Pelodiscus sinensis: one gene and its partners. The protein of the gene in region 4 purifies or fractionates together with the protein of the main gene of each other region. This does not show direct contact. Links are inferred from orthologs where the notes say so. Each region holds a gene or a part of one and is shown on either strand. Other genes may lie near its edges. The genes, in order: NGRN, ACTB, DHX30 and HNRNPA1.

The links.
Region 1: the proteins of HNRNPA1 (region 4) and NGRN purify together in Homo sapiens (affinity purification with mass spectrometry; 3 studies listed by BioGRID and IntAct, counting the BioPlex papers as one, with this or other methods). This does not show direct contact. The link is inferred for Pelodiscus sinensis from reciprocal best matches to the Homo sapiens genes HNRNPA1 and NGRN.
Region 2: the proteins of HNRNPA1 (region 4) and ACTB fractionate together in Homo sapiens (co-fractionation; 3 studies listed by BioGRID and IntAct, with this or other methods). This does not show direct contact. The link is inferred for Pelodiscus sinensis from reciprocal best matches to the Homo sapiens genes HNRNPA1 and ACTB.
Region 3: the proteins of HNRNPA1 (region 4) and DHX30 purify together in Homo sapiens (affinity purification with mass spectrometry; 3 studies listed by BioGRID and IntAct, with this or other methods). This does not show direct contact. The link is inferred for Pelodiscus sinensis from reciprocal best matches to the Homo sapiens genes HNRNPA1 and DHX30.

The regions. Positions count from the first base shown.
Region 1 is NW_027466005.1:39,785-47,430, forward strand, and holds NGRN (neugrin), read right to left. Parts: upstream 2,986-7,646; 5' UTR 2,921-2,985; coding exon 2,829-2,920; intron 1,760-2,828; coding exon 1,649-1,759; intron 1,548-1,648; coding exon 917-1,547; 3' UTR 509-916; downstream 1-508. Other genes in the region: tubulin polyglutamylase TTLL13, read right to left, coding at 4,322-4,453, 5,362-5,507, 6,629-7,004. UniProt on the Homo sapiens protein: Plays an essential role in mitochondrial ribosome biogenesis.
Region 2 is NC_134726.1:31,385,178-31,392,911, forward strand, and holds the start of ACTB (actin, cytoplasmic 1), read right to left. Parts: upstream 3,013-7,734; 5' UTR 2,852-3,012; intron 506-2,851; 5' UTR 500-505; coding exon 377-499; intron 86-376; coding exon 1-85. UniProt on the Homo sapiens protein: Actin is a highly conserved protein that polymerizes to produce filaments that form cross-linked networks in the cytoplasm of cells.
Region 3 is NC_134712.1:256,903,605-256,911,601, reverse strand, and holds the start of DHX30 (ATP-dependent RNA helicase DHX30), read right to left. Parts: upstream 3,005-7,997; 5' UTR 2,981-3,004; coding exon 2,794-2,980; intron 1-2,793.
Region 4 is NC_134729.1:1,217,379-1,225,220, forward strand, and holds the start of HNRNPA1 (heterogeneous nuclear ribonucleoprotein A1), read left to right. Parts: upstream 1-4,840; 5' UTR 4,841-4,888; coding exon 4,889-4,972; intron 4,973-5,584; coding exon 5,585-5,701; intron 5,702-6,173; coding exon 6,174-6,320; intron 6,321-7,091; coding exon 7,092-7,302; intron 7,303-7,418; coding exon 7,419-7,511; intron 7,512-7,608; coding exon 7,609-7,707; intron 7,708-7,842. UniProt on the Homo sapiens protein: Involved in the packaging of pre-mRNA into hnRNP particles, transport of poly(A) mRNA from the nucleus to the cytoplasm and modulation of splice site selection.

The DNA of each region.
Region 1 (7,646 bases), on a different chromosome or scaffold from region 4:
CACAGCCCACCGGCTTCCCCCCTTCCCGGCGCACAACCCACCGGCTCCCCCGGCGCCCCCCTTCCCGGCACACAGCCCACCGGCTCCCCCTGCTCCGCCCCCCCCATCCCGGCACACAGCCCACCGGCTCCCCCGGCGCACCCCCCTTCCCAGCGCACAGCCTACCAGCTCCCCCCCATCCCGGCACACAGCCCACCGGCTCCCCCGGCGCACCCCCCTTCCCAGCGCACAGCCTACCAGCTCCCCCCCATCCCGGCGCAGAGCCCACCGGCTCCCCGCTGCATCCCCCTTCCCAGCGTACGTTCTGCCGGGTACAGGAAGATGGAGTCTGAACCAGCCTGCCCAGCCAGCTGCAGAGCTGCTCCCTGAGGCCTGAAGGCTCAGCGCCCCAGAGTAACGCACCCGCTGCACAGCCAGGTGGCCTTGGCTGGGGCAGGAGGGTGCCAGAGGCGGGGCAGCAAAGGGACAGAAGCAGCACCCCCAGGGCAGGCTCAGCCGAGACAGCTAGGACTTTGTAACCTTTTATTTTCTTTGCACAGCCCCCAAAGGAACGGGCCTGAGAACCTAGCTTGGCCCAAGCAGAGACCCTCTCTCCCCGCCCAGAGACCCACAGCACAGACCAGCTCTGGGGAGTCCCGGCCCTTTGCACCTCAGCTTGGCCCGGCCTTCCCACCCCACTGGTCCCTCCTACCCACCTGCCCAGCGCTCCCCTGCAATTCCAGGCAAGCTCTCGGCCCGCCCAGGACGATGGCAGCATGGCCGGAGCCTGAGCCAGGCTGCCGGTGTAAGTCCCCGCCATGCACGGCAGGCCAGGCCCGGCACAGCAAGTGCCACGTCCCTACAAAGACATCTCCACCATGCCCAGAGAGAGTCCAGCCGGCCGGCCCAGGGAGGACAGTCAGAGGCCCACCCGCCCCTACTCCTGCCTTTCCTTGCCAGCCTCGGCATCAGCCTGGGCCAAGGGCTGCCTGTGCCCCCCTCCCTCTCCATGCGCCAGCCTCGAAGGGACCCTGTACAGGAAATGCCCATGGCTGTCGAAGTATTCCTGGCCTCTCCGCACCACTTCTGCGTCGGCGTCCCAGCCTTCTGCAGCCAGCTCCTCCAGCTCTTCCTCGCTCCGCACCTCACCGTCCCACCGCGCCGTGGCTCCCGCCGCCAAGGAGCCGCTCCTGCTGGCGGCCTCACGCCTGGCTCCATCCGCCTGAAGAGGCACCAGCCGGGAGCTCCTGCTGCTCTGCCCCTTCCTCTGTGGCTGGGAGCGGCTGGACTGGCCCCCAGGCGCGGGGGGGGCTCTGCACAGGGAGGCGTCCTTGGGCCCGGCTGGCAGGAGCTGCTGAGCGCCTTCGCCTGCAGACTTGGCCACCAGCTGAGCTGTGGGGTCTGGGCTCCCCTCTGGACCCAGCACCTTTGCATCCTGCTTCGCCCGGCGCTCCGGCGAGGGGCAGAACGTGCTCCTCAGCACCCTCTGGATGACATCAGGGCTCACACTGAAGCCCTGGGCCAGCCGGGCCACGGGCCACTCCTCGGGGAAGGCCTGCCGCAGGGACCTGCCGGGAGAGCAAGCGCCAGGCCGTCAGGCAGGCCCAGCCACACAGCCCCCAGCCCCGGGCGCTCGGCCCAGGGTCACCGGCCAGCATGGCCTGCTCACCGGATCTGCTCCATCGCCTGCCAAGTCAGGCTGCGTGGGGGCGGGCCCGTGGGCTCCAGCTCCCTCCGCAGCCTCCTCAGCCGCACCGCCGTCCTCTGCCGCTGCAGCGCCCTGGGGGGAGGAGGACAGAGGGGCTGAGTGCGCCCAGGACCCCCACCCTGCCCCAGCCCACCGCCCTGTCCCCCTGTCCCCTGTCCCCCAGCCCCCCCGTTCCGCCAGCCCCTCCTGCCCTGTCCCCCAGCCCCCCCGTTCCGCCAGCCCCTCCTGCCCTGTCCCCCAGATCCCCCCGTTCCGCCAGCCCCGCCCCCTGTCCCCCAGCCCCCCCGTTCCGCCAGCCCCTCCTGCCCTGTCCCCCAGCCTCCCCGTTCCGCCAGCCCCTCCTGCCCTGTCCCCCAGCCCCCCCCGTTCCGCCAGCCCCTCCTGCCCTGTCCCCCAGATCCCCCCCGTTCCGCCAGCCCCTCCTGCCCTGTCCCCCAGATCCCCCCCGTTCCGCCAGCCCCTCCTGCCCTGTCCCCCAGCCCCCCCGTTCCGCCAGCCCCGCCCCCTGTCCCCCAGCCCCCCGTTCCGCCAGCCCCGCCCCCCGTCCCCCAGCCCCCCCGTTCCGCCAGCCCCTCCTGCCCTGTCCCCCAGCCCCCCCGTTCCGCCAGCCCCTCCTGCCCTGTCCCCCAGATCCCCCCCGTTCCGCCAGCCCGTCTCCCTGTCCCCCAGCCCCCCCGTTCCGCCAGCCCCGCCCCGTCCCCCAGCCCCCCCGTTCCGCCAGCCCCTCCTGCCCTGTCCCCCAGATCCCCCCCGTTCAGCCAGCCCCTCTCCCTGTCCCCCAGCCCCCCCGTTCCGCCAGCCCCGCCCCCTGTCCCCCAGCCCCCCCGTTCCGCCAGCCCCCCCGTTCCGCCAGCCCCGCCCCCTGTCCCCCAGCCCCCCCGTTCCGCCAGCCCCGCCCCCTGTCCCCCAGCCCCCCCCGTTCCGCCAGCCCCGCCCCCTGTCCCCCAGCCCCCCCTGTCCGCCAGCCCCCCCGTTCCGCCAGCCCCGCCCCCTGTCCCCCAGCCCCCCCCGTTCCGCCAGCCCCGCCCCCTGTCCCCCAGCCCCCCCTGTCCGCCAGCCCCCCCGTTCCGCCAGCCCCGCCCCCTGTCCCCCAGCCCCCCCCGTTCCGCCAGCCCCGCCCCCTGTCCCCCAGCCCCCCCACCTCTCCAGCTCCTCGGGGTCCCCCGGCCCCGCGGCTCCCCGGCCCAGCAGGCGGGTCAGGCCCGCGGCCCGCAGCCCTCGCGGCGCCGCCATGCGCAGCCCAGCAGCAGCCAGTGGGCGGGGCGGTTGCGAGAACGAGAACGAGGCCGGGGGGCGGGGCTGTGGAGCAGGCAGGTTCCGGGGATGGGCGGGGCGGTTCCGAGAACGAGGCCGGGGGGCGGGGCTGCAGAGCAGGCAGGTGCAGGGGGTGGGCGGGGCGCTGCGGGGGGCGGGGCTGCGGAGCGGACAGGTGCAGGGGATGGGCGGGGCTGCGGAGCGGGCAGGTGCCGGGGATGGGCGGGGCGCTGCGGGGGGCGGGGCTGCGGAGCAGGCAGGTGCAGGGGGTGGGCGGGGCGCTGCGGGGGGCGGGGCTGCGGAGCGGGCAGGTGCAGGGGATGGGTGGGGCGCTGCGGGGGGCGGGGCTGCGGAGCAGGCAGGTGCAGCGGGTGGGCGGGGCGCTGCGGGGGGCGGGGCTGCGGAGCGGGCAGGTGCAGCGGGTGGGCGGGGCGCTGCGGGGGGCGGGGCTGCGGAGCGGGCAGGTGCAGGGGGTGGGCGGGGCGCTGCGGGGGGCGGGGCTGCGGAGCGGGCAGGTGCAGGGGGTGGGCGGGGCGCTGCGGGGGGCGGGGCTGCGGAGCGGGCAGGTGCAGGGGGTGGGCAGGGCGCTGCGGGGGGTGGGGCTGCGGAGCGGGCAGGTGCAGGGGATGGGCGGGGCTGCGGAGCGGGCAGGTGCAGCGGGTGGGCGGGGCGCTGCGGGGGGCGGGGCTGCGGAGCGGGCAGGTGCAGGGGGTGGGCGGGGCGCTGCGGGGGGCGGGGCTGCGGAGCGGGCAGGTGCAGGGGGTGGGCGGGGCGCTGCGGGGGGCGGGGCTGCGGAGCGGGCAGGTGCAGGGGGTGGGCGGGGCGCTGCGGGGGGTGGGGCTGCGGAGCGGACAGGTGCAGGGGGTGGGCAGGGCGCTGCGGGGGGTGGGGCTGCGGAGCGGGCAGGTGCAGGGGGTGGGCGGGGCCTGTTCCCCACCCGTGTCCGCAGGAGGCGAGCGCTGGTGCTGGCCGGCCGGAGGCTCTGTCGAGAGCAGGGTCCGACCCTCCACTTGCCTGCTGGCCGGGGCGTCGCCTGGCGTTTGGTCCGAGTGGCTCCGGCCGGAGCCTGGCGCTCGTCCGCCCTGTGACTTGCTGTGCCCCGAGGAATCGGTCCCTCCCGGGCAGGACAGACTGACAGGCGACTGTAAAACTATAAAACTTTCCTAAGCCCAATACAAAGGAACAGAGTCGCGCAGCCCTGTGGCCGGGCAGCAGGTGTGCGAGGGAGGCTGCAGCTCGCGGGTGAAGGTCGGCTGGCAGGAGGAAGCACCGTGTGCACACAGCTCTGTCCGCCGGCACCGTGACTCCAAGCAGCTCCTCGTCACTAGTCGCCAGTCACCGCAGCAGGCCTGGGGTCCCGACTCCCTCGTCTGCCTGGCCCTAGGAGGGGTTCTCCCTTTGTGCAGAAGAAAGCCTGGTTTTGGCACAGCCATGGCCTTTGGCTGTCGGAGTCCCGAGGCCCTTGGTCCCTTTCGTCCCAGAGATGGTCTGGCTGAGGCTCAGGTCCAATTCCTGGGGAGAGGCAAGCGACCGCCGATGAGACACGGGTTTGCTTGGGGACAGACACAGATAGGAGCTGGCCGGCAAAGAACCCATAGCCTCCCCTCCACAGCTCAGGTGAACAGCTGGGAATGAGGAAACGACAGGGCCCAGAGCGCCTGTCAGCTTCTTGCGTGGTCCACAGGGCTGCTGGGCTCTGTCCACGCTGCTGGAGGTGGCTGCTGTGAGCAGAGGGCAGGGTACCCACCAATTCCCCACACCCGGGGCCTCTCACGCCAGCTGTTTGCTCGGCCCCAGTCTCCCGACTCGCCGGACCTTTGGCCAGCATGGCGGGAAAGCCCCTGAGATGGAAACACCCTTCTTCCAGAGGGGTCCCCCGGAATTCTACCCTGCTCCTGCGAGCAGGGACCATGCTCTGGCCAGGGAGAGTGACAATTCTCCCGCAGCGATTCCGCCTCAGCCAGTCAGAGACAGACAAGCAACCCTGGGGTCAGACCCCTCCTCCACGCACACGGCCCCAGCCAGCAGCACTCCAGGGTGCGGCTCGCTCGCATGTACCAGTGCCAGAGCCGGCTATGCCCCTGCCTGGCTGCGGGACTGGCATGTGCCTGAGCTTTGCTGAAGCCAAAGGGAGGCGCTCTGGGCAGATTCCAGCAGTGCGACTCGTGGAGCAGGACCCCAGGGCCTGGCGAAAACACCAGCAGGGTCTCATTCCCAATGGCCTTCAGCCAGCTGGCGGTGTTTTCGCGACGCCTACGGGCCATGGCTCCAACAGGCAGCCCGGGCTGGCGTGGGGACGTGCCTGCTGATGGCAGCCCTCCACGAGAGGCGTTTGGCAGGCAGGGAGGTGAAGAACGTCCCCTACCTGGAAGCCGGCCGGGACACCGGGGCAGAGCTGCGGGGGGCAGCTCGGGCCATACCTGTGGTGGTGGAAGCTGAGGATGGACATGGCGTTGGCCCGGGGCGGGGCGTGGGCGCGCTGCACGATGGGCGCTGAGGCAGAGTTGATGGCTAGCTCGTGGACTGCAGCGCGGCTCAGGGTCGGGCACCGTGGGGAAGGTGCCATCTGAAAGGAGAGCACAGAAGGGACAAGGCAGGGCTAGAGCAGCAGGAGGGACACCAAGGATGCCCCTTGGGGCTGGCTTGGAGCCCGCCTGGCGACATGGCCACGCACCCTGGGTGATAAACACCCTGCCCCCCACGCCTCTCCTGCCAGCCCTGAGCGCAGCAGGCAGGCCAGCGTGGCACGGTGCAGGGCTGAGTGTGCCCCCTCAGGAGTCTGGCCGGGAACACACTGGGTATGGCCTGTCTCACTGGCCATCGCTGTGGGAAGGGGCACTTTGGCAAGCCCGGGCCTCCCCCAGCCCTCTCCCCCTTCTCCTCGGACGCTATCACGGCTGCTGCCTTCCCCCTTCCCACGCGGGCTGGGCTCCAGCTCTGGGCCTACGGGCAGTGGCAGGGGAGGACCCGTCGCCCCGGGACTCCCGGGGTCTCTGAGCTCTAGCGCCCTGCCGGAGCCCTGAGGAGGAGAGCAGGGCAGGGCTCTCCAGCTCCCGGCCCAGGCCCGGCTGCTGGCCCGCGAGTCCCATTCCGGGGTGACGGGAAGCAGAGCGCCCCAGGCCTGGCGAGGCCTGTCTTGGGACACGGCTGCTGTGTGGCTCCCCCCGTCACCGTGAGTGCAGCGGTCCCACCCCTGCTGCTGGCCCCCGTTTGCTCAGGCCCGCGGGCCAACCCGCGTGAGGGGACGGCTCTGCACCCACCTGCCCTGGCCCACGGGGAGTCGGAAGCTGCTCGAGCCCCGTTGCACTGCAGCGTGGGGGTGTTAAATTGCCCGGGGCAGCAGGTGGGGCCGGAGGACACGGGGGGAGAGAGCCAGCCAGCCAGAGGGGCCGGGAGCCCTGCTAGAGGAGGGTGCCCGCTGGCCCCTCTGGGGGATTTGAGGACTGGCCCCAGCCCTAAGGCACACTGACCCGTGGCACCCAGACCTTGGAAATCTCGGTGGGAGGCAGGAGACAGACCCCTTCGGCCATCTCGCTAGCTGTGCCAGAGGATGCCAGGGGCTTGGTAACCAGGCCATACCTGGGGGGGCCCCAGAGGCCTGGAAGGCAGCAGGTCCTGGGGCCCAGGGCCTGCATGAGGCTGCTTTGCACGGCCCAGCAGCAGGCCGACCCCCCGTGTCGTACTCACAGCCTTCCACCTTGTTCCTGGCGCTGGAGAATCTCCGGCCTCCCTCCTTCGGCACCTTGGCCAGAGTGCAGCGCTCGGCGGCCACTGCTGTGCCCAGGGCCTGGCTCCCCAGCCAGCTGGCGTTCTGCGGCTGCAGGCCGTGGCTGAGCTGCGCCCTGTGCTGCACGCGGTAGGGGAGGCTCTGGCCCATGCCCGACCTGGTGCCCAGCAGGCTGGGAATGAAGCCCTGGCTGCCCAGCATCTGGGCCCTGGCCGCCGGCTGCTGCATGATCTGCTGGCCTAGGTCGCGCACCGTGCTTCCCTGCAGCGAGAGGGGCACCAGGGTCATTAGTCGCTGCGTCTCCCGGCTCCCAAACACGTCCTGGAGGAACCGGGGCTGGCGGGAAAGAAAAGGCAACTTGTGTTCCTCTTCCTGGGGGGTCGGGAGTGTCTGGTGTGACCTGCCCCCCCAGCCACAACCTCTCCCAGCCCCCGCCCGAGCACGGCCCGAGCCAGCGCAGCCCTCAAGCCACAGAGACTTGTGCTGCCGCGGTTCCCAGCCTGTTCCTCGTACCTTATTGCTACTGACCCGGCCGGCACTGCCCCTTGCGCTGCACGTCTGCCAAAGCAAAGCCCCTTTCCAGGGCCAGGGCCAGGGCCAGGGCCAGCCACCCCCCCCCAGCAGGCTGGGCTGCTCTGACCCTCTCCTGAAGCGTGTACCCTGCCAGCACATGGCGGACAGGAGGGGAGCTGAGCCCTGAGCAATCTCCCCATCCCCAGCACAAGGCCGGGTGTTGGCTCAGCCCGACAGACGGAGGCAGCGAATCCCGGACGGCTGGCTCCCCTCCCGCCTGGAGTTAAGGGGAGCAGGCTGCTTGGCTTCCAGCGGCCTGGGGAGCCTCCGGCTGGCCCGCGCAGCCCAGCAAGTTTCTCGCCGACTGGGGCTGCTCCCCCTGGAACAGGCTGGGAAGCGCCTGAGTTCACTGCAGCCCTGCCTGTGGGCTCTCCGGGGCCCAGGGAGTGCCCGCAGCCAGCATTG
Region 2 (7,734 bases), on a different chromosome or scaffold from region 4:
GGTATTTCAGGGTCAGGATACCTCTTTTACTCTGGGCTTCGTCACCAACGTAGCTGTCTTTCTGGCCCATACCAACCATCACACCCTGTGGAAGAGGAGAGTTGAAGGGAAATCAACTTTAATTGCCTCTAATACTCAAGATACCAACCCACTGGCTGACTAAACGTAGGACTGCTTTAAGAGTGTTTTGCTAAAGCATTATAGAATGGACTTAAACCAGGCCACTGCTACAGAGAACTTTCCCTGGCAGACAAGCCAAGCTTTTCACTCCTCCTGCACAGCTAACAGGTCCCCAGTATCTTATACACACTATGCCCTGTTCTCTTCTGCCTCTGAATTATCAGACAATACAGGCAAGATGCCATTCATTACATACCTGATGTCTGGGGCGACCGACGATGGATGGAAAGACAGCACGAGGGGCATCATCCCCAGCAAAACCGGCTTTGCACATACCGGAGCCATTATCAACGACGAGCGCAGCAATATCATCATCCATGGCGAACTGTAAAGTAAAGGGAGCAAGCGTGGTTAGCCAGGAAATAGAGGTCTCGCTTCCTTGCAAGTCTCCCCGCCCCAAGATTCCTGGAAGAGCCTGTAATTGCTGTGAGTGCAGTGCAGTTTGCGAGGAAACCCCCATCCGGAAAGGGTAAGCCAAGCCTTTTGCTTGTGAGCAAGCTGAGGGGGCTGCCTTCCCCACCCATTTCCTTTCTAGCTTCCTGTTTGTGAGCTGGACTTCTCCCTTTCAGCCACTAGAGGGTGCAGAGCTCTACATATTTTGCCTTTGCACAGATTTGGGACAAAGGAAGTCCCTGCTCGAGGCTCATATTATTACCATAAAAGGCAATGGTTAGAGCAAGCTCTGCAAGAAGCCAGTAATGGGGCATGGAGCCAGCTTTGGGAGGGCTGATTAAAGAGACAAGCCACTCCCCTCCCTTTTCAAATGAAGCATATGGCTGTGGCCACTCCCTGTCAGACAGAGGGAGTGTGCCTGGGTCTAGCACTAGGGTGTCTGAAGCAGAGTTAACAGGACAACACTGAAAGAGTTTTAAAAAAGGAGAAGTTACCCGCCACACCCCGCTGCAGAGAAACAGTTTCTCCTGGGAAACCACCTTGCTTAATACCCTGGCTCTGACTTATACCAGACCTACAAGCAGTTGCATTAATTATCCCAGAGGCATTTAGAAATGGGTCAGTAGGTTTCATCAGAAAGAAGCCTGCTTGATCTATATCTTTATTTAATTAGCTGGCCAAGTTTAATTGCAGGCTCCCCACCAGCTAAGCCTCAAAGCCATTTAACACAGAGTGACAGATGAAAATGGCCAATGCCAGAGAGAATTAAGAGTGTTATGCAATTGTCACACTCAGGAAGGGCAGCACCAGCACCAGCAAATCCATGGGCTCACTGGAGGGTCAGGACCACCCCCCACCTGTGCCTATCCCGACATCCTAGCAAGCTTATTCTGGGAAATTTAGTTCCTACACCTCACTGTCTGGGGCAAAGAGGCTTGGCTGGAGTGAGTTCCTTTTTCTTTAAGCCAAGCCAGCAATAAGGGGGGGTACATTTCTTCACCCTACTTCAAGCAGAAACACCAAGAGCTATTCTGTGCCAAGGCTACAGACACTAGCCAACCTGGACCCCACCCCTTCCCAGACACTAGGGACAATGCCCCTCAGGAATCCAGAGAGGAGCCTGCAGTGTTCCTTGATGTGGAATAGTGATAGAAATGTAGCCGTGTTAGTCTTGGGTAGTTGAAGCAAAATGCAGGACAATGTAGGTCCTTGATGTGGGTATTTTTTGGGGGGGGTTGGGGGGGTGTCCAGAGCAACTGCCCTATAGGATGGGGGGGAAGAGGCAGACCTCTCAGCAGCATCCCCTGTGTCTTCAACAAGACAAAGAGACCCTCTGCCTCCCACCTCCTTTAGCCTCTGGGCCAAGAGACTGATTCATGTCTCCCCCCACCCTTCTGCAGGGAGGATCCTCCCTCCACCTCCCCCACCCTTACCCAGCATGTGCTGAGCTAATACAATAGAAGTACCGGCTTCTGCCACCGGAAGCACCAATTGTGGAGTCACACCCTACCAGAGCTTCAGAGCCGCTGCTAACACCCCCCTTCCTCCAGCTTTCTTCTAGCCCCCTTTCAAGTGGGGGAAGAGATGCTCACTCCCAAGCCCCCTTTGGGCAGCCTCACTCCTCCGCCAAACCCATCGCCTCTAGCTTCTTTAAACCATGCAAAGGAAGACGATTAGCTTTAAACCACTCTTCCTCCTCCCCCCTCAATTCACCTTCTACTCCAACCACAAATCCTCTTAGGCACAGACCCGCAAGCCCGATTACAGCCCCAGAACGCAGCACCGCTGCAACAGGGGAGACCTTTCCCGGCGCCCACCAACTCAAGGTTAACTTGGGGCAAACGCCACCCCACCCACCCGCCCCTCGCCAGGCTAGTGGGGCCAGGAAGCGCAAACCCACCGCTCACCCCACCAACGCGCAGCCAGGCACGTGCTTGCTGCTTGGGGCACGTCAGGCTTTGCAAGGAGCAGAAATAAAGGCGACTCGCCAGAAGAGCAACAACCAATATTTAAAAAAAGAAGAAGAAAAAAAAAAAAAAAGAACCCCCACCCCAGCCCCCCAGTGACTTTCCCCTACGGCCGCCAACATTAAGCGCCAGCAGAATTGATCCGGGATCAATTGAATGGGAAGCCATCAAAACTCAGCCACTTTGGGGGGCTTGTTAGTAAACCCCAGGCATTTCCCTCTAAAAAGGGGGCCCGTCCAAATCCAGCCCGCCCTGCCTGCCCCCCCAGGAAAAGGGCTCTTCAGAGGAGGCTCCTGCCCCTTTGCACTTACCTTGGGGAAGTTGCAACTTTAAACCTTGGGTGGAAAAAAAAAAAGCGGCGGCTCAGCCGGCTTGCTGGGGGAACAGGCACGCGCGCAAAAAGCTCGGAGCGACCGAAGCTCGCCGTGCGAGCCGGGTTTTATGGGGCCAGAGCGGTAGAGCCCGAGCCATAAAAGGCAACTTTCGAAGCTAGCCCTTCTGATTGGCCCGTTCGCGCTCCCTCTCCCGAAGCGCTTTGCACATTGCAGCAGTTTTTTTTTTCCTCCTCTTGTAATAAAAAAAAAAAAAAAAGAGAGAAGCAGGCGGGGTGGGGGAGGGCGCTCCCGGCTGCCAGTGGGTGCTGTACCCAGTCTGCTCCTTTTGCAGGCGTGAGCTGTAGCTCAGTGCCTAGCAATGCAGGCAGGAGTCATAACACAACGTGCATGCGGAGGCTGCCTGGCTGTCCTGCCCAGGCACCACCTGCTTTGCTGGGGGAAAGGGCTCCCTGCTGTTTTGAGGGGCCCACGCCGTTGTGATTCGCCAGGCCTGGGGTCTGACTGTGTCCCTACATTGGCCATCCTGGACCCAGCGTAGCCTGCTGGGTCGTGTGGTGCCCGGTGGCCCCCGAGACATCCCCTTCAAACAACCTCCCCTGCTTGGCACGTCAGCGGAAAAGAGGAGTTTGACCCTGCAAACGCTGCAGAGCGGAGGGCTGGCTCCTGGAAGAAATGCTTGGTGTTGGTGCTACCTGCCACTGGCCCTTTGACTACAGTATAAGGTCTTCTGGACAGGGATGTTTAGAGCCACTCCCCTGGACTGGCTGAGGCCCGCTCAGTGCAGGAAGGGGTTAAAGGCAAAGGTGGCTTATTGTGGGGATGTGCAAGGGGTCTTCCTGTTCCCCCAGTGAAATTAGAGCAGACTCAGCAGCAACGTTCCTGCCCCTGGCATATCCCGTACACCCCAGGCTGAGAAAGGGCATGGCAGACAGATGGTTGCAGCCGCTAAGGAAGCCCTGTAGTGGGGGTATACCTCTTGGGCCATAGGGCCAAGGGAAAGCAGACCCTATTGTCCATTCACTGGACTATTAATGTGCCTTTGGCACCAGGCAAATAATCATCCTTCAGAACAGAGTCCCATTTAAAATTGAAGTTATGGGGCAAATTCAATCCATTCATAGATGTGGGAACAGGCTCCAGGCCTAGCTCCTGCCGCTCCATGCACCAGGTTTTCACCCGCACACCAAGGCCTCTGCTGCCAGCCCCATGTGCTGGGGTGTCAGTTAGAGTCTCGCGTTCCAGGGGCAGCAAAGCCCCTGGCGTATGGGGTAGCAGCTGGGAACCCAGCTCCCGACCCTCCCGGCTCGGGGCTTTACTCTCTGTCTCAGCTGGATGGTAGAGGCAGACAGAGTCAAGGGGGCTCAGCACCCCCACTTTTGAAAATGTTCCTGCCCCACTGTCCCACAAGGCAGCGGGGACAATGGAGCTGCTCTTGAGGCCACATGAGTGAAAGTGGCCCTTTAGCTCACCCAAGGACTATTACAGTAACTTACCAATCCACCTGACGTGATACCAGCACCTGATCTGCCTGTTCTGTGTCACCGTTAGACACCTAAATACCTTTGTGAATCCCACCCACTGGTGGGCAGGTCTACATGTAAAATGCTGCAAGGGTGAATCTGCCCCCCGGATATGCTTCAGCGAAGAAGGTACGACATTAACAAGAGAGCTTCTTCAGTCTGCGTCATTCATCCATCTGCATGAGAGACAATCGTTAATGTCATTGGGAGAAGCCTTTCTGTCCATGTAGCCGTGTCTACACCAGGTGCTTAGTCTCTATTACAATGCCACTTGGGTGTGGATTTTTCATACCCTCAAACAACATCATTATACCAACCTAAGTTAAGAGTGAAGAACTAGTCTGAGTAATGCTTAGTAGTTGTTGTCTTAGGCCTTGATCCTGGCATGAGCTCTCTGCAGATGGAGGCCTGTATCCACCCAACTGCATGCAAGTGGTAGTTCTTGTTCCTTTTCCATTTAGCTGTATGGTGCCAAGCGAAACATGTCTTTGTGTGAACTTTCCTCACTGTCTTGTGTTTCCGCAATTCTGGGTTTCATTCTTATGAGGAAACATTTCAGAATAAAGGCTAGGCCATCATAACCGATACAATACCTGGCAATCACATAGCACTTTGCCTCTTCAACGCGCTGTATAAACTTTCAGTTTTAATTACTTAAATGTAGGTCCTTTCAGATTGAATACCAGCAAGTGGTTTAAAACACAAAGTCCCCTGGAAAATGCTAACAACGTGTGTTTTTCATCAGATGCCTCCGACTGGTACCTTTAAGCAGGAATGCCCCAAAGAAGCTAGCCCTGATGATATACTTAGGTGAGGTGCAGATGCAGGGGGACAATGAGGGTGATAGGGTGCCATGTCATGGAAAGGGGAGCTGTGACAATTTTGCAGCCTGTTCCTTGAAAGCTCTTTGTCACAGGGAAATCAAGGAGATTGCTCAGGTGGATAAAGTCTACCTGAGTAAAGATGAGCAGGACTGACTAGTCCTTCATTCCATTAACAGGAGGCCTTAAAGGGAATCGCTGTTCTGGTCATTTAATGTTGCTCCTGCATGCTGAGTTTTTTTGCGGAGATTAAGTACATTATCTCAGCTGTATCCTGGTATCTGTGCCCTGCCATGTGGAACAAAGGAGGGAAGAAAGCACAGGGGAAGCGGTGTAAACTGCCTCAAAACAGAGCTCTGCAGTTACCTTCGGGGTGGATATAAGGATATAACAACCCATTTACGGATTGCGCCCAGCTCTTGTTCCTATTGCTTTCCTATGTTCTATGGTTTTTAATTCACCCCCATGCAGAGGGTCTGCATCCAGCAGTCGCCTGGAACGGGGCCAGCATTTTGCAGGATTCTCAGAGGAGTCGGGGAGGTCCTTGGTTCCTTTCTTCTTCCTGGGGCTTAGGGCTGAGGTGCCCAGAGAGCAGCCTGTGGTGCCAATGCAGGATTGTATTGTTGGTGAGTTCAAGCCTCAAGTGATTTCTAGCTTGAGTCAAGGGTGGCACAGTGAGGAGAAAATAGTAAGCAAACTCGGGTTCCAGGTAAATGGGTAATATGCTCCCCAGACTCTCACTGCTTGGGAGCCCCTTATTTATGGGGGGGTCCTTTTCTTAGGGCCAAGTTGGAGAGGGGAGTTTCCATGTAACACCAGGAAAACTGCTGCTACTGCCACCAGAAGCCATTGGACCTCTCTTACCGTGGGCAGGAGGAAGGTGGAGGTTAACTTGAGGGTATCTTTATGTCATAGCTGTGAAAGGCGCATCCTGTCTCTACCATGTGCTGGATGCTCTTTTCCAAACTCTGCGCTAGCTCGAGTCACGCGGCTATGTAGAAAAGTTGGACCAGACTCTGCCCTCAGCTTCACTGGTGCAAATCCAGAGTCATTCCAGTACCGGCCACGGAGTGCCTACATATGTACGCTGCTGTAACTGAGCGCAAAATTTGGCACTTTGTGTCATTACCATGTAAGCAGTGAGAGGGCTCCCTAGGTCTGTACTAACTTTGTCAGGGTCTGAAGGTTCACACCGTGTGTGCCCTGTTCAGGAGAACCCAGATGGTACAAAGAACCTTCCTGAAAGAACATGAGTATGCCCCATTAGTCTGCCGACCACACCCAGGGGAGGGTTCTCATATTACACTATGAATGTGCTCTGTTAACTACGCTATGACAGGAAATCCATGGGATACAATGGACCACTATGAATGGGCTTTTAGACAATACTGTGACCATATCCACATGCAAAGAGTCACTCAGCTTCCAATGATAATGTTCTTACAAACCTACCCTGCGCCACCTCTTACGAACATAAGAATACAGCCTGGTAAGTGTAAAAGCACCTTGCCAAAACTGTCCAGCTGTAAGGAATGAAATAAAGGATACTGAGAAACCTCAGGGTTTTCCTTAAGGATGGGTGGAAAGGAGAAAGAGCATAGAAATCTGGGAACTGGGCACTCCTGAGTGCAAATCCTGACTCTGCCATTAACTTTATCTGTAACCTTGGTCAAGTCCCTTAATCTGTCTGCATCTCAACTTCCTCATCAGTAAAATGGAGCTAATTGGTTAATTACCCACCTGCGAGGAGAGTAATTAATTGAGGCACTGCTTTGAAAAGGCTGCATGGGGGATGTTAAGATGAAGATTATTTGTCAAATAGGAGATGATCCAAGGCCTGGATGTGTGATGTCTGCCAATGGATAAAATGAGGCAAGGGGAAAGGTTACATGGGAGAGTTGACCAGACAAGCTCTTCAATGCATTGGGGAAAAGTAACAGGGACCTCCAATAACAGGAACCCTGAAGGAGGCTGACATGGTCAACATCTGCTTTGTTGCAGTTCACAGTCAGGGAGGATGAAAGGAGCAAGGGGCTCGGAGATAAATGTTAACGAGGCACTAGAAACATCAGGATTCATGAGAGGCGAGTGAAAGAATCCTTAGATAAGAAGTGTATCGATTCAGCAGCACTGTAAAAGAACTTCATCAAGTTCCCTTGTCTTTGGGGACTGGTGCAGAGATGGTGAAGTGTGATGGGATGGATGGCAGATGAAAGTGGGATCCTTTTAAACTAAGGAAGGAGACGTACTGGCCAAAGAGACTCATCTAAATTCCAGGAATATTGGAGCAAATCAGAAAGCTACTTGGAACCACTGGGAAAACAATAACAAAACCCTTGAACCTTCAAACCTTTTTACGCAATGGGAAATTTGGCTACACAAGGACCACAAAGTTGGGCCCATAACAAGTAGCTAGCAGCTTGGCTTCTGTCGTTTCCTTTGAGGCAGACAGAAGTCAGAGTTCAAGACTCCTGAATACAAAGTGGATTCTTTACAAAGGCTGCTGATCACAGGCAGA
Region 3 (7,997 bases), on a different chromosome or scaffold from region 4:
TGCCTGGTTGGTCTGGAGCGGCGCTGCGGGACCAACCCGGCAGCCCCAAGCTGCTCTACCCCAGGGGTAGGCAAGAAAAGCCTGGTTGCTGGGGGGGGCACTAGCTGCACCCCCCCCCCAGCAGACCAGGGTGGCGGGACCGCCCAAGTCCTCCACGGCTTTGCTCCGTCGCCCTGGTCTGCTGACCTGGGAGACGCGGAGCAAAGCAGCAGAGCACGCGGGCAGCGGGACAGTCCAGGCACGCCGCAGCTGTCCCACTGCTGGTGTGCTCCGAGGCTTTGCTCCCCATCTCCCTGGTCTGCTGGTCAGACCAGGGAGACGGAGAGCAAAGCCTTGGAGCACGCCAGCAGCGGGACAGCCCAAGCGCGCCGCGGCTGTCCCACTGCGGGCGTGCTCCGAGGTTTTGCTCCCCATCTCCCTGGTCGGAAGACGGGGAGCAAAGCCACGGAGCATGCCCGCAGGGGGACAGCTCAAGCATGCCCGGGCTGTCCCGCTGCGGGCGTGCTCCGCGGCTTTGCTCCTGTCCCCCTGGTCTGCTGGGGGGGCCCAGCAAAGCCGCTGGACCCCCCCAGCAGACCAGGGAGACTGGGAGAAGCTTTTCTCACCCGGGAGGACACAGGTGGCGACCCGCCGCCCGTGAGCTCCGGGGCGAGAAAAGCCCTGTTCGTAAGTGCGGATCCGACATAAGTCGGATCCGCATAAGTCGGGGACTGCCTGTATATGCCACAGTCGACCAAAAGGAAAGCTGGTTGTTCTCTTAAAAGGAAAAGAAAATTAAGTGGCCAATTAGAGACAAAGAAGATTTTTAAAATTATTTGCAGTAAGAGGTATTTATAAAACATTTTCCCTGCTGGTTTTTCTTGTCCCTTTTGTAAGAATTTGCAAAGTAGAAACCCACAGATATAAATCTAAAAGGCACACTGTCTTTTTTTAAAATGGAATGTACATGTAAAGCAGTCATATGACAGCAATAACCCTTCCAGTACACTTTTTGGGTAGAGGAAGGCTCTCAGCCTTTGGCATTATACCACACCAAGCATCCGTGCACATTATATCAGCTTAATGTTATGTCTGTGCCATGGTTTACAATCATATTTACAAACCTCCTTGAAAGATACAAAACCTTTTTATAAGATTGTGAGGTTTTGATACTTGAAAGTTGTAAAAACTTTTTACAAAGTGTGAGATTTTAAGTGCATAAGTCAACCCTGAATGGGATAAGGATATTAAGAAGAAAATAAATTGAAGTGAGTGTCTGGCATTGGAAAAGGTTCAAGAAAAGGCAACAAAAATGATGAGGGGTTTGGAACGGGTCCCGTATGAAGAGAGATTAAAAAGACTTGGACTTTTCAGCTCAGAAAAGAGGAGACTAAGGGGGGATACGTTAGAGGCCTATAAAATGGTGTGAAAAAAGTGAATAAGGAAAAGTTATTTACTTATTCTCACAATATAAGAACGAACTAGGGATCACCAAATGAAATTAATGGGCAGCAGGTTTAAAACAAACAAAAGGAAGTTTCTCTTCACTCAGCGCACAGTCAACCTGTGGAACTCCTTGCCAGAGGATGCGGTAATGGCTAGAACTTTAACAGGGTTCAAAAAAGAGCTAGACAGATTCATGGAGGTTACGTCCATCAATGGCTATTAACCAGGATGGATAGGAATGGTGTCCTTAGCCTGTTTTTCTAGAGGTGGGTGACAGGGGAGGGATCACGTGAGGATTCCCTGCTGTGATCCCTCCCTCTCGGGCATCTGGTATTGGCCACTGTAGGCAGACAAGACACTGGGCTAGTTGGACCTTTGGGCTGACCCAGTCTGGCCGTTCTTATGCTCTTATACTATACACTGAAGGAAGATATGCAGCTTCCCACATGTAATTTATGAAAACTGTAACACATGGGCAGGGCTTGACAAACGGCGGCAAAAGCCACTCGCCAGTCCCGCACTGTGCATGCACAAGAGCCTCCGGTAAATGGGGTGTGCGGCTGACATCTACTCACCATGGGCGAGTAGATTCTATAGTTTGTCAAGCCCTGCGCATGGGAATTCACGGGCAATAAGATTTCTTAACATCTAGCTCACTTCCACGTTTCGTTTGGTTTGGACAACCCATCAGTCCTCAGAACAAAACCAGTATGAGCAGTGGCAGGAACATCGAGGTACACCATGCCAGTTCTCTATACTGCTAGGAGAGCGAGGAGGTGATGTTTCCTCTCCGCAGCCTGTTCAGCTGATCCCCCTGTGCCGAGGTGCCAGGGAAAGGGCTATTTATTAGGATATTTTCATTCCACACAGGCTAAACCAGAAGGCCGGGAGACACAAAGGCTTTCACTCACGACCCGTTTCAAACGCGTGACCTTGAGGTGAAAGGACGCGGAGCCCTTCACCGCTGCCCCGAGCATCCCATTCACCCTGTTTGCCAATCGGGGGCCGAGGCGCGTCCAGAACACGGAGAGATTCACGTCCAGGAAGCGGCTCGTGTTCCCTCCAGAGCCGCTTCGGGACCCGCCGCCCCCTGGGCCCCACGCGGGCTCGCCTCCCCGCACCGGCAGCTTCGCGCACGTGTCGGGAGAGGCGCTGGGGCCGCACAAAGCCCCGTCCCCGCCAAAGCGAGCGGCCGGCGAGGGACGAGGCCTAATCGCCCGCTGGCCCCGCAGGTCGCTCCCCGGGCCCCGCTGCGGAGACCGCGAGGGCTGGGCCCGGCCCGCCGGGGCTCGCGCGCGCTGCCCCCCGGCTGGAGAGAGGGGCGCCCCCCCCGCCACAGGGCTCGGCCCCAGCGCCTCCCGAGCTCACCCTTCACCATGGCGCCGACGTCCGGCTCCTCTTCCGCCCCGGCCGCGGCCTCGCTCAGCGGCCCGCCCGCGCACAGGCCCCGCGTGGCGCCGCCCGCTGCCGGCTCCGCCCGGCGGTAGCGGCGGCAGCGCCGCGGCCCGGAAGCGCCGCTCACCAGCGCCAGCAGGAGCCGCCTGGGCGCCGCCATCTTGCCGAGGCCGCCCACCGCCGGCTTCAGGCCGGGCAGGGGCAACGAGGCGGGCGGAGGGAACCCGGCCGCGCGCAGCGGCCCCTAGCGCGCGGGGCGGCGCACTGCAGGCCCGGAGGAGCAACAGCGCCGCACCTGCCCGCGCCCCTGCGGGACCCATGCGCGCGCCAGGCCCTGCTGGCCGGGGGCATCGCCCGCCCCTCCCCCGCTGCATTAAAAAGGTGGAGGAACAGGCTGAGAAAGCAAGAGATCCCTGCCCACCCCGCAGCTGAGGAACAAGCCTGCACTGACCCTGCCCACACCTGTTCTGAGGCTTAAGAGAGAACTGCCAGGTAGGCCAGTAATGAAATAGAACAATCCTCCTCCCCATTTTTATTTCATATCCACATCAGACATTGTAGGAATCTCATTTAGCATCCGCTCCCCTTGAGTGACCCTGGATAGGAAACCAACTCTTTGTTTTATCTCTGGATCGCATGCAGATCAGTCAGAAGCAACACAAGAGAGAGTAAGCTATTTCAACATGTAAGAGGATATATTCTGAATACTACGTGAGCCTCAAAACAACCCCTTAGGTAGGTCAGCATCACGCACTTTTTACAAATGAGGAAACCGACCCACACCGAGGTTTATGAGAAACTTGTTCATAAAGAGAAAAAGTTAGTGGTGCTGCATATGGTACCCAAAAATTTCAACTTCCGGCTACTCTCTTTTAAAATACATGTTAAAGGGACACTGCCAACTTTAAAAAAAAAATCACTTCTGATAACTTTGAAACTAGAAGACAAAAAATGCATTTGCAATTTTCTTGGTATTTCATGCCACTCTGTGTATATTATCACCAGTGAGGCCAAATTTTAAAAACGACTAGCCAAAAGCAAGCAAGCAGAAATATCTGACTCCAAGAACTATACCAATCAGCAGGAAAGTTCCCAAGCAGGTTTAGTATCTGAAAGTAATTTTTTTTAAATTATATATCGACCATACTTCACTTCTGCAGTTGTAATCAAACTTCATTATTTTACTAACACCTTCAATACTAACATTTGAAAATTAAAAAGTTATTATTTAGGTTGGTCACAGTCTGTATTTTTCTCACTTTGAAAAAAATGTTTGCTCAATTTTAACAATTAAATATTTTCAGCATAAGTTTCTTAATACTGTAACATGTGGATGTCAAGTACCCTGTCGCTGCAGGGATGTTTTAATCCTTCCCCCCATCAGAATTTGTAAATTATCAAAATATTTGAATATACATGAAATCTAACACTTTGGGCTACAATTAAATTGCAAGTGCCTATTTACAGTAGTGAATTGTTTATATGTTAAATTGTCATTCATTAATCAGTAAATACTTTGCTTGCAAACCAAGATTATACATTAGCTAATATGTAAAAAATCATTAAGGGAAGTAAGACTTTCAACAAGTATATCTTCGCAGGGAGCTAAAAGATATCTGAATGGTTACGTTAGCAAGGAAAACCACATATAAAAAAAACTTAACAAAAGAACAAGTGTATTTGGAAGTTTTGAGCACACACTAAATTACTTGACTCAGCAGATGTGCATCTTAGGATATTAAGCCAATTAACTAACATTCTACCAATAATAAATATTTCTGAAAAAATCAGGCAACAAGAGAGGCACTAAAAAAAATGCAGAACAGACTTTCAAACACAAATACTAAAGCCATCCTGGCTGTTTGTTTTCCTAAAAGTCTAACTTCTATCCCCAGTAAAAGAATTCAACAAATACTGAGAAAAGTACAACTAGAGTATGATAACCATAAGCAGTACATAGCATCAATTCCTACACACCAAATATAGCCAGACAAATTCACCAATTAAAAAATCTGGTAGATGTTATACTAAACCCCATGAACTCTATCTTGAAAAATTATTTCAAATCAGTTTAACTAGTATAATTCAGCAGAAGTAAAACTTCTGGGGAAAATAAAAAGCATGTGTATGTAGAAAGGGGATTAATGTTAAATGCTGAGGTATCCAGTTTATTTATTGAAAATCTTCATTGTGATCTTGAAGGAGTAGGATATCCATTAAAGCAGGGGTTCTCAACCTTTTTCTTTCAGAGCCCTCCCCAACATGCTACAAAAACCGCACAGCCCACCAGCACCTATAAAAGCCAGGACTGGCATTAGGACAATTGCCTGGGGCCCCACAAAGGTACATTGCTCAGGCTTCAGCCCTGGGTGGCAGAGCCAATGGCCCAGGCTACAACCCCAAGGCTGTCTAGACTGGCCAGTTTTTCCGGAAAATCAGCCGCTTTTCTGGAAAAACTTGCCAGCTGTCTACACTGGCCGCTTGAATTTCCGCAAAAGCACTGACTTCCTACTGTAAGAAATCAGTGCTTCTTGCGGAAATACTATTCTGCTCCCGTTCGGGCAAAAGTCCCTTTTGCGCAAAAGGGCCAGTGTAGACAGCTCAGATTTGTTTTCTGCAAAAAAGCCCCTATCGCGAAAATGGCGATCGGGGCTTTTTTGCGGAAAAGCGCGTCTAGATTGGTAGGGATGCTTTTCCGCAAAAAGTGCTTTTGCGGAAAAGCGTCCGTGCCAATCTAGACGTTCTGTTCCGAAAATGCTTTTAACGGAAAACTTTTCCGTTAAAAGCATTTCCAGAAAATCATGCCAATCTAGACGCAGCCCATGTGGCAAGGCTTCTACCTTCTGCCCTGAGCCTCAGCGAATCTAAAGCTGGTCCTGTTTGAGCACTCCCCTCAAACCTACTCCCAGCGGGCCTTGAACCTCGCATTGAGAGCCACCACATTTAAGGAAAATTACAGATGATACTAAGTTGTTTTGAGTGATCCACACTCGTGGATGCAGAAATAATAGAGCCCTAAAGAAATGAGAACCGTCGGTGGAGAATACAATAATGAAAAAATGTAGTTGTACATCTGGGGGAGGACTATAGGAAACACATTCAATGGGAGGAGAAACAGTGATGCAGAAAATAAAAGGGAGAGAGTGTTCAGAAAATTAGATATAAATAACAGGGCTAGTGGTTTGTCACGGTAAATTAGACAATAATTCTGGTCACAGAAAAAAGGCAAGAATCGATTTATGGAAAAAATGCCAGCAGTCACAGGATACAATATTTCAACCAAAATGTCCTTTATTTTGCAATGAAAAGCGTTTAACAGCATTTAACTAGTAGTTTAACACCACTATCCTGCTGCTTGTCAGTTCAGACTCAAAGCAGCGAGCTGCTGCTGCTCCTTCTTCTCTCCTACATGAGCTTTTGCAAAGGGGTTGGCAGCTTTGTACAGAAACTTCTTATCCAGCTCTGCCAGCTTCAAGACTTTCCCCAAAGACTAGTAGTGTCACAGAATCCATGAAGTCCCTACCCCAGTCCAGCCATGACAAACCACTAGCCCTCATGAGGTGATGCTCTCCTTCAGCCTCCCATTCAGCCTAGATTTTTACTTGGCATCTCAAGAGTTTCCCACTGAAATACAAATGTCAAATATCATTAATTTGTTTTAATTATAGAATTCATGACTACTGATGCGCTTTTTTTTTTTAAGCTTGACATTGAAACAAGAATGGCTAATGAAACGTTATGCCACCAAAACAATGAATCCGAGGCATTTCTTCCCAGAGCAGGGAGGTAATAGACCCTCACTATGTTGTACATGTCTGATACAACCTTACCGGGAATAATGGATTGAGTTCTGAGTAGCTCATTTTAAGATTGAGTAACTGAAGGATATTCAAAATAAGCAACAAAAAATGACCAGTGACTAGAGGGACTGACTTATGATAGACTAGAAAGAGCTAAATCAACAGTATGGCTGAACAATGACAAAAGGGGACATAACAGCTGACATATTTGAATTATGTTAACACCGCAGAAAGTACAAAGGATGAAATTTAAAAGGAAAAATGCAAACTAATTAGAACTAAACTGGATGAAAAATTAAGTAACACACTGTAGGGAACAACCCTGCATTGTCAGGGGGGATGGACTGGAGAACATAAAAATTCTTTTCCATCTCCAGTTTCTGTATTTCCCTGAAATGTATCTCTCACTGTGTTACTTAATATAAGTACAGGTACTTGTGACATTAATACTTGTTCAGACAGCTGTCCCAGCTAAAAAATGATTTACACTGCTGCATAAGTACTAGATACCAAACTATTATGGTTTGGAAACATTTACTTTTACAAGCAGACACAAATTTTACCCTTGGATGTGAAGCTCCCCTTGCAGTTAAAAGGAGTGACATAGGACCTAATTCTGTTTTCCTATGTAATACATAACTTCCAATGTGGCTACTAATTTTCTCAAACATCCTTCCTTTTTCTTTGTAGCACATGTAAGCATGTATTGGTGGCACAAACACTAAAATGAATGAGAAATAACTCACACTGCAAGGCAGTATGGCACACCTGTCATATCATTCAGCATAGAAAAGAATGGTAAAATTATTTATGAACTGGATATCTTTGTCCAGAGATCTAGTGCTATAGCTGATCAGTCAAGAAAAATTAATGGTGAGAGATGAGCGCATTCCCCAAATCAACCAGTCCTTACCTTTTCTACATGAATTCAGCGAGAACATCTCTGTCAAAGTGAAAAGATCTGATTCCTAGGAAAGCAAGAGGATGGAGAGACAGGAAGTTAGAATTTATATTCCTCTCCGAAATGTCCAAGCCTCCACTAACTTTTCTGATATTAACTATATATTAGATGAAGAATACAGCTGAAGGTTGACCAAATTCCAGTCTGAATGATTGCATTCTGCTTGGCTATAGTATCTATTATGTGCTGTCTTAAATTGCTGAATAAAGTTGTACTCTGTAAAACAGCTACATTTCTATCACTAATGTTACATTCAGAGATTGGGGGAAGTATTCCCTCTAAATATTAGTTCAAGTTTGTAAAAACTTTGGAAATTTGCAGGATGACAAGTGCTACTGATTTCTAGTTATTCACATTTTAGACACTGAAAGTCCCATTGAGATTAAATACAGTATTTTAGTATGGGGTTCTTGTGA
Region 4 (7,842 bases):
GCCTCTCTCTGCTTCAGGATATACAACTAAAAGGTCTTTAAGCACGTTGCAGGGACACAAACATTTAGTCATGTTTTAAAACAGCACTGCACAGTTATTAAAACAAGCAAATCAGCCTGCTGTTGCATTAGGAAGTGCTCAGACAGCAAGGTGCTGAGAGCCATATGAGAACTTAGGCATAAAGAAATTAAAGTTACATAAGGGTAAGCACAGGTTCCCATTACCTGGGCTAACTTAACATGTGCGTGTCAATAACTTGGTTTCCAAATATCACATTAACTGATTAAATGGGGGGGAGGGGAGGAGAGGAGAAATAAGCCCAGTATTTCAATAAGGCACATCCACTTCCACCATTAAATTCTCATTATCTTCAATTCTGAAACAGGTAAGCAGAATAGTCTCCTCAAAGGAAATGCTAAAGCACAGGATTCATTAACGAGCCGGTAACGGTTCATCGCATTTTGAAATCCTGCCTTCCTTCCAGAGAGGAAAAGGCTCTTTGTCCCTCATTAAACACACGGACAATTTTGCCACATGGACCAATTTTGGGGGCAAGGGTAAAGCAAGAATTCAGTATGAAAGTAAAGTACCTTTGATTTTTTTTTTTAAACTACTCTTGTAACTATAGAATAAAACAAAGACCCATTCAAAGTTTAGGAGTCCGCCAATAAAGATTTAAAACCACTTTGCTAGAGCATACAGAGATACAAATTCCATCTGCCCCCTCTGTTGCTACTAGCTTTGTATCTACATATGGAAGTTAATCCAGAACAAGATACAGTGTGTGAGAATTTCAAGTGAATTAATTACTTCTGATTAACTCTCTCTAGGGATACTTAGTCCAAAATAAGCATGCCTTTTTCAGGTTTAAACTAATCCAGAACAAGGCAGGTTTATTCTGGAATAAGTGCATCCAGACAGGGAGTTAAAATCAGGAGTAGTGAACCCATAGTAAACTGCAGTGATCTTGTAGTCATATTGGTCCCAGGATACCAAACAAGCAAGATGGGTGAGGCAGTATCTTTTATTGGATTAACTTCAGCTGATGAAAGACAACTGTTCAAGTATATGCAGAGCTCTTCTTCAGTTCTGGGAAAGGCATTCGGAGTGTTACAGCTAAATACAAGTGTAGAACAGGTAAGGAGTAAACATGTATTGCAAGCGGCCACTCAGGATACATCCACACTGCAGAGCTATTTCGGGATACCGGAAGTATCCCAAAATAGCTATTCCATGTCTATTGAAGCAGCCCGTTATTTCGAAATCAATTTTGAAATCACAGGCCGCTTATTCCGACGTCCTGGTAACCCTTGTTCCATGAGGGTTATGGGGCATTTTGGAATAGTGAGTTATTTTGAAATACACTCAAAATAAGCTATGCAATTTGCGTAGCGCAATTTGTGTAGCTAATTCTGAGTGAAGAGTGCTGTATAGACACACCCGCAGAGAGAAGTGAGCAACTAACTCTACTACAGTCACAGGACAAAGAAGAAACAGTGGGTTACAGATAGTTATGAGCCACTATAACTTCACATCCTGTCTTATTCCAGATTAATTTTCCCATGTGCAGACAAACCCCAGAGCCTGCTGTAGCTGCCCCACCCGTCCTACAGACGGGATGGTCCCTCATAATGACATTAGCCCACAAGGTCCAGGATGGGTCTGAAGGATAACTTGGGGGAGGGGGAGAGGAGGAGGGCTGGCTCTGGGCAGTAGCAAAGGTTGGCATCCCTATCCCACTCACAGGCAGCCTGCTCCACTCTGCCGCCATCTCCCAGTTAGCTCGCTCCACTTCACTGCAGCAGCAGGAAGTGGAGTGACTCTGGTTCCACTTCGCTGCAACAGCAGGAAATGGAGTGACTCAGCTAGGAGATGGGTAGCAGGGCAGAAGAGAAAATGCTGCTGGGTACACAGTGGGGGGGGGGGGGGGGGGACTTGACCCTTGCTGCTGCCCTATGCCAAACCCCCTGTAATCTCACAGATAGCATCACCTGGAGGCAGGGGCTTTGGGAAAGGGTTGCATTGGAGGCAAGGCAGGGACAGGGCTTGGGGAAGGGGTGGAGTAGGGGCCGGGCGGGGCAAAATGGGTTGCAGAGCAGAGTACAGTTTGTGGCCCCCCAATCAGGCAGCCATGGATGGGCAGTTACAGAGGATGGTGAAGGTAGAGAAAGGAATGAGGGTTGTTTGAGGGGAGAAAGGGCTGCCTGAGAGCTATAGATCTTTGTGTGGGAAGATGAGGAGGGCTAAAGGGGGGGGGATGTTTTCAGGGGACAGGGCAGTAGAGCTGGGGGATTGTTTGCAGGACATGGGTGGGGGGAGATAGGGGAATTGCAGGGAATCTTGGGGAGGAAGTTGAAGGAGATCCCAGGGGGGTAGTGACAAGCATAAGAGGGTGCGTGGCAGAAGATTGGGGGGAGGATATAAGATCTGTGGTGGGCAGCTGGTGGGGTGAGTTGCAGAGGATTTTTCTGAGGAAGAGATTTGCAGGGGATCCAAGAGATGGACACAGAGGATGCAGGGCATTGGAGGGAGTGCATGAGGGGAGGTTTGCAGGAGACTGGGATTAGCAGGAATTGTGGTTAGTGGGATTTATAGATATCCAGGAGGGACTGAGCAGTAGGGAACAAGATGTTGCAGAGAACCAGCTGGCTTTTAGCTCAAGCTGCTGACACACTAATCCAGAGGTCCCAGGTTCGGTTCTCACTAAAACAGCAGGCAAGTGGGGATAGGGAGAACCCCAGATGAAGGGCTGTTGACAGAGAAATGGAGGGGATCTCAGGGAAAAACAGCAGGGGAAGGGTTGAGGGGGAGCACAGGGACTATTGCAGGGAACAGAGGGGCTGAAGGACAGGACAGGGCAGGGCAGCTAGTACAAGGGGTAGGAGCAGCATGAGAAGCTCGTGGGGAGTCAGCGAGGGGGGCTGCAGGAGCAGTGAGGGGCTGACAAGGATCTGGGTGGGAAAGGGAGGAGGAGGGGCGGGGGGAGAGGGCAGCACAGGAGATGTGGCAGAGACAGAGCTGAGAAGTTTCCAGGACAAGGGAGCGCAGGAATGCGGGGCGGGAGCAGAACGAAGGATTTACAGCGGGACTGCGGGAGGCCGGGGGGGAGGCGCAGAGAGGGGATGGGGGGCACAACACGGGGGGGTTGTAGCACGGGGGCGGGGGGGGCACAGGCCGAGGAAAGGGCAGGGTGGGGGGGGCAAGGCAGAGGCACGGGGGGGAGGCAGCGGGGGGCGGGGCGATGGGGGGGCACCGCCCGCGGGGGGGGCAGGGCGGGGGATGGGGAGCGGGGGGGGCAGAGGCCGAGGGGGACGCGAGGGGGCGGGGCTCGGCTCCCCCAGCCCAGACTCGGGGGCGCGCCCCGTGTCCCAGCCGCCTCCCCCCCCCAGCCCAGAGCGGGGCGCCGATTGTCCCGCCCATCGGGAGGAAACAACCCGACACCGCGCGCCCTTTGGCCCGCCGCGCCATCAATCAACCGGGAAGGCCCCGCCCTTTCCCCCCAGGCGGCGCCCCATTGGCGCAGCCGGCTGCCACTCCCAACTCCCGCGCGACGGGCACCAGCACCCCCCACTGCCCGTCACGCGCCTCTGCCCCGCCCCCGCCCCTCCATTGGCCGGCCGAGCTGTCCGTCAGTGGCCGCGGGCCCGCCCCCTAACCCCTTTCATTCCGCACAATGAGCCCGTCTCCCCCTCCGCCCCGAGCCCAGCAGCCCGATGTCCCGGCTCAGCCGCCCCGCCGCCGCCCGGGTACCTGGGGACGAAGCGGGTCCGGCGCGGACTCCCCCCTCTCGCAGGCCCTCAGAGCCGAGGCCGCTTCTGCGCAACGCTCGCCGCCCGCCAAAATAGCCCCCCTAGCGCGCAGGCGCCTGGCTCCCCGCACGGCGCATGCGCGGCCCGTCCTCTCCCTCCCCCCGCCTCTTCGGGCGCTTGCTCCGGGTTCCGCTAGCGCATGCGCAGACGAGCACCTGTGGGCTTTAGTCCCTTTTTCCCGCAGGCTGCCAGGCAGGAGCCCGGCTCCGCACGTTCCACAGAGGCAAAGCGCGCGGGCTGGTGCTAGGGAGAAAAAGCCGCTCGCCCCCCGCCTCAATGGGAGCCGCCTCCGCCCCCACCCGAGTGATTGACACTGCCGCCATCCAGTCAAGTCCCACGTCTAGCGGCAGCAGCCAATCACTGCGCAGATTAGAGCGGGACTGTCCATGAGCGAACCAATCAGAGGCGAGCTACAGCCTCTCGCCAGTAACGCGGGAAAAGGTTGGGGGAGGGAGGAAGGGAGGGAAGGCACGCACGGCCACGTGATGCGTCAATAGGCGGGGCTTACGCAGGCTTAGCCAGTAGGCTGTAGCAGTGGGTGGGTCACGGATCTCCTCCGCCAATGAGATGTGTCGGCCTCTCGTGGCTATCCAATCGGAGGCGGGGAGGGGGTGTGCCCCGACCGCCGCCTCCAATGGGAGCGCGCGGCGGGCGGGGCTCTAAGAGGGGGCGGTGGAGTGAGGCGTCGACGCTCTCGTCATTCAGCCCTTTCTGTATCGGCGCCTCGCGGAGGAAGCATCGCACGCGCAGCACTTCTGAGGCGGAGGCCCGCGCCCGCCCGCCCCCGCCATGTCCAAGTCCGAGGTGAGCCCGGCTCCGGCCGCCATTTTCTCCGCTCCCCGCCGCCGGCGCGGCCTCCCCTGGGCCCTGCTGGGGCGCGGACCTCGCCGCGTTCGGCCGCGCCTTACGCCTTTCAGGCCTGCTCGGGCTTCCGTCCAGCCCGCGGAGGCTCCCCCCCCTTCTGCGCCTGCGCCGCCTCAGCCTTCGCGCCTGCGCTTTACCCCCCTTCCCAGGTGGGCGGCCCTTCGGCGCCTGTGTGGTGGGGATATGGGGGGGGGGAGTGAGCCTCCCGCGCTCCCATGTGCGCGTGCGCGCCCGCCTTTGTGCAGAGCCGGAGGAGCGCCATGGCGGCCGGGCGAGCGCGTGGCGGGCCTCGCGTGCGCGTGCGTGGCGGCTCCCGCGCGCCAGGGCTGCAAGCCCTCTAGGGGGGAGGGGGGGTTGGTGTGCACGGGGGGGGCCCTCTGCGGGGGGAGGGGGAGGGGGGGTTGGTGTGCACGGGGGGGGCCCTCTGCGGGGGGAGGGGGAGGGGGGGTTGGTGTGCACGGGGGGGGCCCTCTGCGGGGGGAGGGGGAGGGGGGGGTTGGTGTGCACGGGGGGGGCCCTCTGCGGGGGGAGGGGGAGGGGGGGTTGGTGTGCACGGGGGGGGCCCTCTGCGGGGGGAGGGGTTGGTGTGCACGGGGGGGGCCCTCTGCGGGGGGAGGGGTTGGTGTGCACGGGGGGGGCCCTCTGCGGGGGGAGGGGGAGGGGGGGTTGGTGTGCAGGGGGGGGCCCTCTGCGGGGGGAGGGGGGTGGGGGGGTTGGTGTGCAGGGGGGGGCCCTCTGCGGGGGGAGGGGGTGGGGGGGTTGGTGTGCACGGGGGGGCCCTCTGGGGGGGGGAGGGTAGCCTGTAAGTCATTGTGCAATCTCTTGCTCTGGGCATCTCCTGGGGAGGGGGGAGCAGGGGACGGGCCCTGTTGGCTGCTCCTTCCTGACTCGTTTTTGTGCCTCTTCCCCAGTCCCCCAAGGAACCTGAGCAGCTGCGCAAGCTCTTCATCGGCGGCCTGAGCTTTGAGACCACAGACGAGAGCCTGCGGGGCCACTTCGAGCAATGGGGCACGCTGACAGACTGCGTGGTGAGTGCCTGGCCCAGAGCATCCTCTGGGTGTTAGATAATAACATTCAGATGTGGGGGAAGGACTCTGATTGCATGGCCCGGCTGCCTTTTTTTTTTTTTTTTTTTTTTTTTTGATGCCACGGGAAGAGCTGAATAATTTGTTTTTACTGACATCTGTAAACTACTGTTCCAGGGGAGTAAGGGGTCTAACGGCAAATTTAGGGTTAGACGGAATCCTGCAGAGGAATGGCCATGCTGTCCAGTAGCCTCTGTCTTCCAAGGGTGGCTGGTATCAAATGCAGTTTTAGAGGGAATGAGCAGAACAGGGAAATTACCAAATGATCCATGAGGTCCCAGCTTTGGGCAGAGGGAAAGTTGTAGGGCAAAGCTAGTGCTAAATAACTTTAGATGTTCCTTTGTTCTCGTCTTTATGCCACCTGTTTGATTCGTGTTATTTACTGTGGTTACTAATGGAGGTGTGTCCTTTCTAGGTAATGAGAGATCCAAATACCAAGCGCTCCAGGGGCTTTGGGTTTGTTACGTACTCTACGGTTGAAGAGGTTGATGCCGCCATGAATGCTAGACCACACAAAGTTGATGGCAGAGTTGTTGAACCAAAGAGGGCTGTATCCAGAGAGGTATGAATGAATGTTTAGTCTAACCATGCTGTTTTCATAGCCTGAAATTGGCTCACTGTTAGGATGAACTGATCCAGTGGGGCTCTGTAGGGAGGAGTTGAGGTTAAAGTGACCATAGTTTGGCTATAACCCAGGGGTTAAACTGAGGTGGGTCGTTTCCATTCTCTTTGTGGTTTGGGGAAAGCAGTACCCTGCTTACATTAATCGTGCTGTCTGTAACTGCCAATGCTGCGTTTCCTTGCTGTGCTGTCTACCAGAATATGTACTTAAAGCAGGACCACATTAGTAGTTACTACAGGTTGGACCTCCCTTGTCCGGTACCATTGGGACCCGACTGATCCCAGATGAGGGATTTTTCACAGGTCATTTCTGGCCCCCTGCTGTCTCCCCCACCCCCACCCCCTCGCTTTTTTCACAGCTCAGCTGGCTCCCACACCAGCTTTTGCCCTGCCTCTTCTCTCTCTCTCTCTCTTCCCCCCCCCCCCTTCCCTCGGCCAGGCTCCTGGACCCCCCACAGTGTGCCAGGACTGGGACATCTTGGAACATCTGTGGCCCGGAAGGGTTAGGGTTAAACCATTCTGGTTTATAGAGATGCATCCTGTACAAGTAATTGTAAATGGGGACCAGTTTAATTTGTGGTGGACACGTATCACGATTTTGCATTGTCTCTGTCTTTGAGCAATGGGACTGTTGCATTTCGAACCACTGTTTATGGAGCTCTAAAATTGTACATCTCAGATAATGCTTGAGCTTGCCCTCTGTCCTGTCTAGGATTCTCAGAGGCCTGGTGCTCACCTGACAGTGAAGAAAATCTTCGTGGGGGGAATTAAGGAAGACACAGAGGAACACCACCTGCGAGACTACTTTGAACAGTACGGCAAAATCGAAGTGATTGAGATCATGACAGACCGTGGGAGCGGCAAGAAGAGGGGCTTTGCATTTGTCACCTTTGATGACCACGACTCTGTGGACAAGATTGTTAGTAAGTTCTCTGCACAGCTCTGTGAACTGTAAAGATTGTATAGCATTGGAAGGGGACCCGTCCTGGGTTTCAAATCAGGACACGGTGACAGTTAACGTCTAATTCTTCCCTTCCAGTTCAGAAGTATCACACTGTGAACGGCCACAACTGCGAAGTGAGGAAAGCCCTGTCAAAGCAAGAAATGGCCAGTGCATCATCCAGTCAACGAGGTGAGTGCCAGTTTCCCATCCATTGCTTTGGAACTCATCCAAACCGACCTTTGGCAATATGAGCCGTGCTGCTAACAGGCGCTGCTCTCTTCTTTAGGCCGCAGTGGCTCTGGGAACTTCAGTGGTGGTGGCGGCCGTGGAGGTGGATTTGGTGGCAATGACAACTTCAACCGTGGCAGCAACTTCAGTGGTCGTGGTAAGGGACTTTATGGGGTCCTTTTGATTCAAGTTCTACGGATATGGTCAGGCTAACAAAACTCCAGTTTCGGCCCCTAGGTTAACCCAAATGGCTGCTGCAGTTTTGGCTATGGATATTTTTTTAACTTGATTT